Drosophila melanogaster: one gene and its partner. The protein of the gene in region 2 interacts with the protein of the main gene of each other region in a pairwise test. Each region holds a gene or a part of one and is shown on either strand. Other genes may lie near its edges.

What was found. Proteins that work in one complex are often made in the same cells at the same time.
Region 1: the proteins of AnxB9 (region 2) and gt interact in a two-hybrid assay, tested with the Drosophila melanogaster proteins (one large-scale study listed by BioGRID).

Annotation. Positions count from the first base shown.
Region 1 is NC_004354.4:2,426,563-2,430,483, forward strand, and holds gt (giant), read right to left. Parts: upstream 2,406-3,921; 5' UTR 2,291-2,405; coding exon 2,239-2,290; intron 2,164-2,238; coding exon 869-2,163; 3' UTR 551-868; downstream 1-550. UniProt on the Drosophila melanogaster protein: Represses the expression of both the krueppel and knirps segmentation gap genes. Binds, in vitro, to the krueppel regulatory elements CD1 and CD2. It is required in the early embryo for the development of portions of the head and abdomen.
Region 2 is NT_033777.3:21,063,721-21,071,290, reverse strand, and holds AnxB9 (annexin B9), read right to left. Parts: upstream 6,051-7,570; 5' UTR 5,890-6,050; intron 5,409-5,889; exon of another isoform or gene 5,340-5,408; intron 3,846-5,339; 5' UTR 3,822-3,845; coding exon 3,792-3,821; intron 3,223-3,791; coding exon 2,514-3,222; intron 2,454-2,513; coding exon 2,272-2,453; intron 1,979-2,271; coding exon of another isoform or gene 1,925-1,978; exon of another isoform or gene 1,537-1,924; intron 1,014-1,536; coding exon of another isoform or gene 960-1,013; exon of another isoform or gene 752-959; intron 735-751; exon of another isoform or gene 568-734; coding exon 514-567; 3' UTR 374-513; downstream 1-373. Other genes in the region: r-l (rudimentary-like), read left to right, coding at 1-278; cortactin, read left to right, coding at 7,227-7,393, 7,462-7,570.

The sequences.
Region 1 (3,921 bases), on a different chromosome or scaffold from region 2:
AAAATTTAGAGATTTTCGGTTTAAATTACCAGGCGAACAGGAATTCCAGGAGGCGACCAACGATTAGTTGGTTTTCAGTAGACACCCGCTACTGAGTATGTTGGCCTGGTACCAAAAATCCAAAATTTGCCACTAAAATGCTAATTTTGTAAGCAAAATTAACAGATTTTCGGCTTAAATTACCAGGCGAACAGGAATTCCAGGAGGCGACCAACGATTAGTTGGTTTTCAGTAGACACCCGCTACTGAGTATGTTGGCCTGGTACCAAAAATCCAAAATTTGCCACTAAAATGCTAATTTTGTAAGCAAAATTAACAGATTTTCGGCTTAAATTACCAGGCGAACAGGAATTCCAGGAGGCGACCAACGATTAGTTGGTTTTCAGTAGACACCCGCTACTGAGTATGTTGGCCTGGTACCAAAAATCCCAAAATTTGCCACAAAAATGCTAATTTTGTAAGCAAAATTAACAGATTTTCGGTTTAAATTACCAGGCGAACAGGAGTTCCAGGAGGCGACCAACGAGAACAGAAATTCCAGGAGATAATTATTTTCGATAATTTATTGAAATTCATTCCTTAGGGCTATGAAAAAAATTCACTTATAAGTTAAACATTAATAGCTAGCTGGGACTTCTACAACTATAGATGATTCCATTGATAGTTAACTGGTGGGATTGCGAGATGCACTACAGCTAATACATTTTCCAAATATAACGTATACTCCAAGGACTTAAAGTACTTAAATGCGAGCGTGTAAAAAAAAAAGAAAGTTGAGCCCCCTAAACTATTCACAGATAAGCTGACCCAAAAACTGGACATACGATTCGGATCCTCGCGTTCAACGCATCAAGAGAGGAGTGGACCTTTAGGCGGTGGTTACTTTGGCGGAGGTGAAGGCGGCCAGCTGGACCTTGAGGGCGTCGATCTGGCACAAGAGCTCGATGTTCTGGCGTTCCAGATAGGCGGCCCTGATGGCGATCTCATCCTCCTTGATGCGGCGGCGATCGCGGGACTTCTTGGCGGCAGCATTGTTCTTGCGACGCCTCTCGTAGTATGCGGCATCCTTAACCTGGCTGCCCGAGCTGATGCCCGAGTTTGCTGCAGTAGCGTTAGCCAAGTTGCTGGAGCTGCTGGTGGCGGACTTGCTCTCGAAGTTGCCCGCCTGGGAGTCACAGTCGCTTGACTCCTCCGCAGCAGCGCGATCCTCGCTTTCGCTGTTGTTGTTTGAGGAGCTGCCTTCGTTGACGGATCCACTTCTTGAGTTGGTCCTTCGCATTTTTGGGTTGGTTACGGTGCGCGATCCTCCGTTGGAGCTGCGGATTTGCTCAAGCACTCGCTTCCGGTATTCCGTGTAGCGCTCCACTCGCGGATTGTCCAAAAGGACATCAGTGGCTGCGAAATTGGCAGCTATGACCAAGGGATCCCGGGGAAAGGCCTTGAAGGGACGGGTGTTCTTTCCCGCCTCGCCGCTGCTGGAGGTGGTTGGCGTGGTGGCCTCAACAGCCGGTGACAGGGGATTCTCCAGAACGTCTATCTGCATGGTGCTGGCGTTGCTGGCGGGTCTTGGTGAGTTGGTCGAAGAAGCGGCAGCAGCAGCGGCGGCCGCAGCAGAGGCGGCAGCAAAGGTTTGCAGAAGGTTAGCGGTTGGTGTAACCTTGGGCGGAGCAGCAGTGGGCGTGGCTTGCTCCTGCTTGATGTTGCTGTAGTAAAAAGCGGGATACAGGGAGGCTAATTGTTGCTGCTGCTGCTGTTGCTGTTGTTGCTGCTGATGTTGCTGCTGTTGCATTTGGGCGGCATACAGAAGATTGCTGGTGGGCGAAGCCGAGGGGGAACCACTGCCGTAGCTATAGCTTGTTTGATACGGCGAGGGAGTCTTCCTGGGTGTCTCTACGCTGTCACATCGACGGGAAAGATCCAGGACCTCTGCAGAGGAGGTATGCTGCTGCTGCAGCTGCTGATGTTGCTGCTGCTGCTGTTGCTGTTGTTGCTGCTGACTGAGGGCAGCTCCCAGCAACTGCTGCTGGTAGGCGTAGGCCGTGTACAGATCCATTTTGGGTAGGCCCAAGGATCCCTGAACCGGCAATTGGCTGTGCGGCAAGTGGTGCAGTGGTTGCTGCTGGTGGTGCTGGTACTGGTGGTGGTGCATCAGGGGCTTGCGATCTGCAAAGATTGAGAGAGAGAGGGGATTTGTTAGTTTACGGATCGAGGAGAAACCAAGGGGCGTGGCCAACTTACCAGTCTTGAGATCGAAGAACTGCCCGGCCATGAGTTTCTCGTGCATTAGCATGGTGTTCGGTGTATGGTCTCTGGGTTTAATCCAACTGATTGACGCTATATAGACTGGTGATCTAGCTCTGATGTTGCTATATCTTCACGCTGACGATGTCGAACGCAAACTGATTTCCTCTCGTCGGAACCCCCTGCATTTATACCGAAAATCCGGAGGCTGCGCCGACGCCTCATTCACATCGAAATGGCGGACACGAGCGGCCAGCCGAAGCGGTACGAAGCAGGTAGGCGGTACAAAGGCCAAAGGGCAAAGGGGTGATTCTGGCTTTGCTTCTGACTCTGTCCCGCTCTGGCCTGTTGCCCTCTCTGTCTCACCGCTTTCGAAAGGGTTTTACAAGGGTGCGGCTGCCCTTTCCCTCATTTGGTTTTCGCAGTTTTCGCAAAAATCATAGTTCTTTGTGCTATTGTTAGTTCGCCATTTAACGTAATTTTAAAAAGAAAGTACAAAGAGTTTTCGAACTTTACGTTTCATCAGTTTCCGCGAAAGGATATGGTTTTTTCTTGGTTTTAATATTCAATGGGAAAAAATAGGAAAATTCGTACCACCTCTGCAGTGCTTTACATTTCGTTTTCATGGAATTGGTTAAAAATATTCATAATCAATATAGAGTTATAAACTTCGGCTCTATTTTCATAGGCGTTCATTGCGATGTTATAAGTCCAAGTTTGAGGAAACCCCAGATTTTTGTATATACCAGCATTGTGCATTTGATTTTTTATTACAATTGTACCTAACTTACTTGCTTTGACATCCAACTGATAAAACCCTTACCCAAAAACCAATCTTAAAAATCTTAAGTTATTAAACCTTTAGATTTAAGTAACTGCTGTATATATTGCTTTCAAATATAAAGAATAAACCGCAATTAAACATCGTAGGCTATTCTCTTCAGCACTGAAATAAACCATACTTCTGAATCTTCTAGAACATTTCGCATATCAAAGACCCCCCGACCGTAGACTATTATAATTACACTCAAATCATACTTTTCTGGCCAGAAAGAGAGGCATCTGGCAGAAGAAAAGAGATGGAATCTAGTTTGTTGATAATAGATGCACAACATCCAAGGGTTGTGATGGCTAAATCCGTTTGTTTTGCGCTTTTGTTTCGAAATCCTTTTGCTGACCAGCCCATCTAGAATCTGTGTATCCATGCGATGGCGAATTCGTTGGATTGTGCGTGACAAATTATGGAAATTAGGACGAGTTCTGGCGTTCTTGCAATTTTCAGCCCTTTTCGGCTGGCGTAATTCGCATCCTTTTCTTATTTCGGCAATGAAAACTCGGCTTCCCGGAATTTTGGCAAGGACACTCGCCAGTCTGCCCATTTGATTCATGACGCCGCCAGCCCGAGGATCGAGAATCGAGAGTCCAGGATCATTGCGACAAGTGGCCGTCCGTGTTGACTGCTCGTGTTTGCCCTCCTCCTTAAACATCCTTGATTCTACGTCCTTTATCCCTTTGGCTTCCGCTGCGGCGTGGGATGTGGGATCCTCGACAAGTTGTTTCACTTTGTTAACTGTTTGTCCTAACGGTCGCCTCGACAGCCAACGGAAGTGGGTAGCGGTACAAAGTTGGCTATCATCCATGGGAAATGTTATGCTAGATACTTACTGCAGCTAATTCGAG
Region 2 (7,570 bases):
AGGGAGCCGATGTAGATTTCGTTGCCGGTGTGGTATGCCAATCCTCCGATGCCTTTGCCTTCCCCGGACTTCTGCAACTGACGCCCGGTGTGAAGATAGACGAGGGCGTGGACCAATTGGGCCAGCAGTACCAGAGTCCGGAGCATGTGGTCAAGGAGCGGGGTGCCGACATCGGAGTGGTGGGCAGGGGCATTCTGAAGGCCAGCAGCCCGAAGCAGGCGGCTCAGACGTACCGCGACCGCCTGTGGGCAGCCTACCAGGATCGAGTTGCCAAGTAGAAAACCCAAACAGCATTCCCCCTTAACGAATATTCCCCAATACCCATTCCCCCTTGGTTTCGGTTACCCTAGATAAGTGAAAAAATCTTCCAATTATTTACCGCGATTTTACAGTGCATTTATGAATTGAACATAGGCTATGAATCTTCCGCAAAACAGTTGGCAAACGATGCTTGCCTTAAAGTAAGAGTTACAACAAATAGAATGGTTAACAATCGATCCAACGAGGAAATCCTTAGTAGGAGGCCAGGCACTGCAAGACGTAGCTGTAGTCTCCGGAGAGGTCGTCCTGGAAAGGAGATCAGTGGATGGTGAATGTGACCCAGCTTTGCCGTTGAGTGTAAGCCAACTTTATTAGTTAATACAAGCACAAACTACGCATACGACTTTGATGCGCCATAATTTACAATAAAAAAAGACATGTATACAAAATAAAAATACGTAAAAATGTTAAATAATCGTTGAACGTTAGACGTTATTGCACAGAGGGAAAATACTAAGCGTTTTGTAGATTGGATTTTTAGAACACATCACAACTACTGTATATAGACCAACTCCATTTGTTCTTCGCTTTTGTTATACTTTTTTTTGGGGAAATGCAACGTTTTTTTGTTTTTGGCATTTTCTACTTGAACAGTGGGGTATTGCTCATAGATATTCGGATATTCCGGCTGCTTCCGTCTACCAAGCCGTAAGAGTGACCAGGACGTATCCAATATCGGTCTCGGCATCCTCCTGTTGTTGGTTCGTTTAAACGGGTAGAGAAAAGCGTGAAAAGAGCAGAGGGTCAGAGCATTAAACGCCTTTTACTTTGTATACATGGCTTATGGTTTGGTTAATTGCCGGAAGCTACTCCTCCAAGGGGTAATCAACTATATATCTACCTGATCAGCAAATGAATGTCTTTCAAATTTAACATAACATTTAAAGTTTTACATCTTGAAATTGTATGTACATTATATTTACATGTAATTGACATGTACTTTTAGCAAGCAGTGCAAGTATATTTAGATCTAAATTGAACTATATTTAACAGTTTGTATACCTTATACACTTGCTGATCTAGTTTATATAGACAATTAAAGAGGGCTAATATACTCATTTAGCCCCATTTAAATCGATTTTTAAGTTGGTTTAATCCACGCCCTTTTTAATGTTTAATGTTTTGATGTTAGGCGACCCAATGTAGCGCTGTTATTTACATGACAAGCAGTGCAGAGACCTCTGCTAAAGGTAACAGAAACTCGATTTGAATTTTGTATTTCATTTTTTCGTATTTTTTATTTTCGTATTTTTTAAAAGTTAAAATATCTTGCAAATGAGACTCAAAACAAAACTGAAAGTATACCTACACAGCAATGCAAGTAGCCTGAGGTGTAGTAATTATAGAGATACAATTATGTGCATGTGGCGTGCATAGTCATAATAATAAAAGTCACAATGGTTATAATAATCAACAGGATGCGAGACTGGGGTTCTGATTCTACGACTTAAATGCACTGCGTCTTCGTTAAAACGTGTTCCAATTCAAAAACTATACATTGTCAACTATTTGATATCGGAATTTTGTTTGTACATTCTGTTTGCATATAGTTTAGAGCGTGGAACAGACGAAAGAGATAAATTATTGTTGGATGGGGTTCTTTTTAGAAGCCAACAATAGCCAATAGGGCACGCTTATAATCGCCGGATGTATCGCCCTAAAAATATAGAATATGCCAAGTTTTAATGTTTTATGCACACAAATGAAGCAATCGGGCGGGAAGGGATAATGGCTTCAGAAATCGGCAAGAAAGTGTTGGGCAAAGGAGCAGTAACAACAACAGGAGAAGCCAGCTTGGATGAACGATTATTAAACTTTGATGGAGCCACAATTAATGGGATTTGTTGCAGGTGCAATCGAATGCGAGTTAGTGGCACATTGAACAGGGTGCAGAATCGAAAGTTCTGGCAAGCACACGCAGATATGAATGTAATTGAAATCGGTATTTACCTTGATCCAGGACTCCAAGCTCTTGCCGTACTTGTTCTGGAATGCCTCCTTGATGTCACCCAGATCGATCTCCGACCGGCTGACAATGATGCGGATCAGCGTCTTGTCCTTGGTGCCCATGCCGGCCATTGAGTCGTGCAGGCGCTCCGAAAAGTAGTCGATCTTGGACTTGCAGCACTTGACTGCAGAGCAATGCATCAGTTAGAAGGGACCCTAAAGAATAGGATGCTATAAGAACGTACCGATGGCCAGGAAACCCTTCTCCACGGAGCCGCTAAACTCCCGCTTGATGGCCTTCTCGATGTCGTTGCCCGACAGATTCTCGTATTCGAGGAAGATCTGGCGCAGCTGCTGGTAGGAGCGGGTGATCAGGATCGAGTTGAAGGTGGACTCATCTGTGCCCCACTGTCCCTCGCCGGCGTCGTGCAGAGCCTGGGCATCGGCGATGGCCGCGGCCTCGTCCACGCCCTGGTTCTCATCCCGGTTGCCCTGGACGAGCGAGACACACAGCCGCTTGAAGTGGCCACTGGTGTCGCCCTTCAGGTCGGACTCTAGGGACTTGCCGAAGCTCTGCTCGTAGAACTGGGCAATGGTCTTGATGCCGTAGTTGGACAGCGTGCAGAGGATCTCGATGATGGCCTCCTCGTCGGTTCCCAGTCCCGAGATGGCGTCGTGCAGCTCCTGGGCATAGAACTGGGGCAGCGGCGTCATCAGAGCCAGGATAACATCCTCGAATTTGCCGCCCAGTTCGGACTTGAGGTCCGAGATCAGGTCCTTGCCGTACGAGGTCTTGAACGCCTCAGCGATCTCCAAACGCTGGACGATGCCACGCCTGGCCAGGATCTCGATGATGGCCTTCTCGTCGGTGCCGAAGCCTTTCATCGCCTTGCGCAGAATAGCCGCATCCTCGACGGGATCGAAGGGATCCGCCGGGTAGACAGTGGGTGTGCACTGCAAATCGAATATAGGCAATCAGCAAATGAGTAACAACAAAGAAGAATTGGGTGTATTTTAATGCAGGGCACGTAATCCCAAAGAAATGACTCAACACTACTCAGTGGCACTTGTTCTAAATACAAATACATATGTGGTTATTCCCTACATGTATTATCTCAGTATTGCATGAATTCCTCTGCAATAAAGTTAGCTTTCTAAATTGACTTTTTTTTTCGTTGTGACTCTTATCTAAGGAACTCATAACTGAAACCCTCTTATCACTCTCTTCTCCCACCAATCGGTACTTGTTTGTCAACGATTGTCTAGTATACACCTCTGATGATAATTTAATAGCCCAATTATAGATAATTTCGTAGCATCTGGTCGTTGTAATAATTTATAGATTGCATCGAGAAAAATCTTGCTTACTTGACAACAACACACGTTTTAGAAAAAATAATATTAAGATATTCTCATCTATCTGTTGAATCTAATTTGATCTGATTTTTTACATTAACGGCGCTAATCGCATGAAATAATTGATTTATACCAGACTCATAAAGTACAATCCATTGTAAACTCACCTTGAATGGGTAGTACTCAGCGGAACTCATTTTGATTGGTTTGTTGTGAAAAATCTGTAAGTAGGAAGTGAGAAATCATAATGAATAATGGCTACGCCGAAATCGTGATGAAAACTGAACCCCCAGCAATGTTGGATACGTTATGTTTCCCAGACCCAATAAGCCCGGCCTTCGGTTAATTCCTGCCTGGTGACATCATCAACTCGTAAAAGCCTCACATTACGCATACGCCCCGTAGCCAGCCTGGCGCTGGTCTGAGAGCATTTTTACCCATTGATTTTTTTTCCTAGTTTATTTACCGAGATGTTTTTTTTTTTAGTTTTCCTTGCCGACCGGTGCCCAAATCGAAGTTCAACGTACTGCCGGGGAAAAGTGAAAGTTTCCACTTTTCAGTACGCAGTTTGCGGAGGAACGAACCTTGGAACCGGGTGCGTCTGATAGCCAAATGGCATGGCGCGGCAGTTTCGTGATAGGCCAGACCAAACCCACACGAAGTGGCCTCATAAACGGATGAGCTCATTGCGTTCTGGCTTGGAAAACATCGGGCACGGCTTGGTTGTGGCCAAGAGAAAGCTTCAGGGAAATGTCTGACTCGTCACCCGTTTGCGTTCTAGATCTACCACTCCACTTCAGTTGTCAAGTGGAACACTATCTCGAGGGACTAGTCCACATAATCCCTAAAATCAATAGGGCCAAATTACCTAATGATAAATGGATTGAGATTTTTGATAGCTTCCCCAAATTAGTAATCACAGTGCGACAGTGCTGAAAATACATGTTTGCCTTTCTATGCTGCCGCCAAAGTAGAAAGTCAACAAAAGGCAGCCGAAAAAAGCATTATAAAAGACTTGACGTGGCGACGCCATCCAAAAAAACAAAAAAGTTAACAAAAAGATACAACTACAAACGCCTCTGCAGTCGAGCTATAAACAAACAAAATGTTTTGGCCAACGTTGAAACCGGTTCTTTTACGTATGGCGTACAATTAAACTCAAGATTCTAGTGTTTATAGACTACTTTAGTTAATATATGATTTCTTTTTAAATAAATTATAATGCAAGTTGAGAATAATGTAATCAATAATAATTGGTTAGACTCTCTAAATATTGATTGGAGTTCTCCGTAATAGTTTGACCTCAATGTAGAAAACACATTTGTGTTTGAAAACACCCTTAATTACAATTCTTTTGTTTCATTATAAAAAGTGGTTGGGGTCTGGAAAAAACAAGATTGATAGATATGCTTTAGCATAGCGTATCTGGTAATGTTGTTCTTGAAATAGACTGATGATACATTGAAATTACAGCACTCAGTGATTCACCAGATTTGTGACGTCAATTTTAAGCTCTGAGCACGACTTTAAAAAAGAGATATTATAATATAGGTGTAAAAACTGGAATAGCTCGTGACCATGTGTGAAAAACTCCATAAACAAAAGCTTTTGCCAACTTCTTTTGGAGACCTCGATGGACTGTACCTCGAAATGTTTCAAAAATGTTTTGCAAATGCACTGAGCAATTCACTTAGTAATAAACCTTGATGACACACCTATTCTACTATAATTGCACGGCCTCGAGTACACTACTACTATATTTTGTGGACGGTGGAATGTGGCCACATCCGATTCCGGTGAGTAATGCTGAGCAAGGCACAGGCGCTCATACACAGTGCTTACTGTAGTTTGAAGTGCCTGTCGGGCAATTGAAGTTGATTGAATTACTAAATTAAGCAGGGCACTGGGGGATAGAGATATTTCGAAAAATTCCGCTTCTCATTCCTACGTAAAATGGGAAAGCAAGAAAGGAACAGAAAAGTTTACTTAGATTTCGTCGGAGATGAGAAAAGTCACACGCGTCGCGAGAGAAAACGCCAAAAGAGTGGGGCTTTTGCTTTTGAGTTTGATGATGTCATCTTTCGGTTTTGAATTTTTCTCCCACCCGAGGCTTTTATTATTGAAATATAAAGTAAATAGAGAAACAAGATTCTGGAGAATTCTCGCGATACCGCACCCACAACTAGAATTCTACAAAATGCCCATTTTGGAATGGCACAAATGAAAATTATCTTTGAGTGTTTAGCACACACTTTCTTTTCTCACTTTTCCGACTGATTTTCCGCTTGATTTTTTGCGATTTCTGGCACAGCGAGAGTAAACAATGAGTTTTATCTACAAATTCCTTTTGATTTACCAATGATATTCGATTTTCAACGTACAAGTCAGACGATGCGAACTGCAAGCGATGTGAATAAATACCATAGCTGTTTGCGCTCCGTCTTTGGCTTTTATACTCGCGCTCTCTCGCTGGAAGTCGATTAGAGATGAACCAACCGGCGATAGGTTGTTGTTGCTAGGAAATATTCGGTGGTAGCGCCTAACTGGAAGCTGGTATCTTCTGCGTCGTCATAGTATACACCGTAGAATCTAAAGTGTTCCGAGATGGATGAATCATCGGCATTGGAAGCTGTTGAGACATTCATGATATTTCCGTTGTGATAATGACGACATTGGGAAAATAAGATCTGATTACGCATTGAATTTCAAAATGTAACCTTTGACTTCAATATTCAGCCGTTAGGGCAATACAGTTAAATAAATATCCTGTTCCTTCCTAAGCCGTTTTATAACTATTTTTATTTGTATTTTTATAACTATATATAAAAACCAATTACGTTAATTGTCAGCCGACATCGAAGCAAATTCAAATCCAAAACTATCGATATATCGATGATATGTTTGCGGTTATATGAAAAAAGTCAACTCTTATACCTGTTAATTACCGTTCTGGCAGAATCTTATTAATTATACAAATTACTATGGCGCCACTTGGTATAACATCAAATACCTTTTGCCCGAGCACTCAGTTCTATTGATCACGATCACATATATTGGTACTGCAGTATATATCGGTGCATTGACTTATCGAATAAAGTAAAAGAACCACGACTGTATCTCTTAATCATTTAAATTGGGCGCCCCTAAAACTGCAGCAACTACCTTTTGTCAAGCTCATCACAATAATTTATCGGCTTTTCGTAGCATATCGATGCATCCATTGTATCGAATGAAATTTAGTTCAGTTAGTTTCCCGTTTGTTGGTCTCTTTATGAATCAATTGTTTAACCCTTCTCCTCCCAGAAATTTGCAGACATCCCTAGCGGCATCAGATCATAAGTTCCTCTTGCAGTAGGAGTTAGTCATCGGGATGTGAGTATACATATGAACATAGAGCGCCAGTGGCATCTTGTTCCCGATCCGGCTTTGTCGGCCCCTCCCTTCTTCGGTGTTTTGTGACTTGTTATCTGGGCCACGAATCGGAAGCGGAGCCCCTGCAACTGAAAACCTGCCCCGACTACTCACACTCGTCATGGTGTTTATCTATCTACCCAGCAGATAAGGATAAGCGAGTAACCAGCGACCAGAAACCGGTAAAAAGAATGTGGAAGGCAAGTGCCGGTCACCAGATTCAGGCCACCAGTGCAGCCTCCGCGGAGGACGACGACTGGGAGACGGATCCGGACTTCGTGAACGATGTCAGTGAGCAGGAGCAGCGCTGGGGATCAAAGACGATCGACGGCAGCGGTCGCACAGCAGGCACCATCGAGTGAGTCATCCGAAATTCTCGAAACACTGGGTATCGGGTTCATTGTTCCCTTTCTTTATTCTTTTTAGCATGGACAAGCTGCGCGAGGAGACGGAGCAGGCCGATCTGGACAAGAAGAAGCAGCTGCTGAAGGATCAGAACGCAGGATACGGATACGGGGGCAAGTTTGGCGTTGAG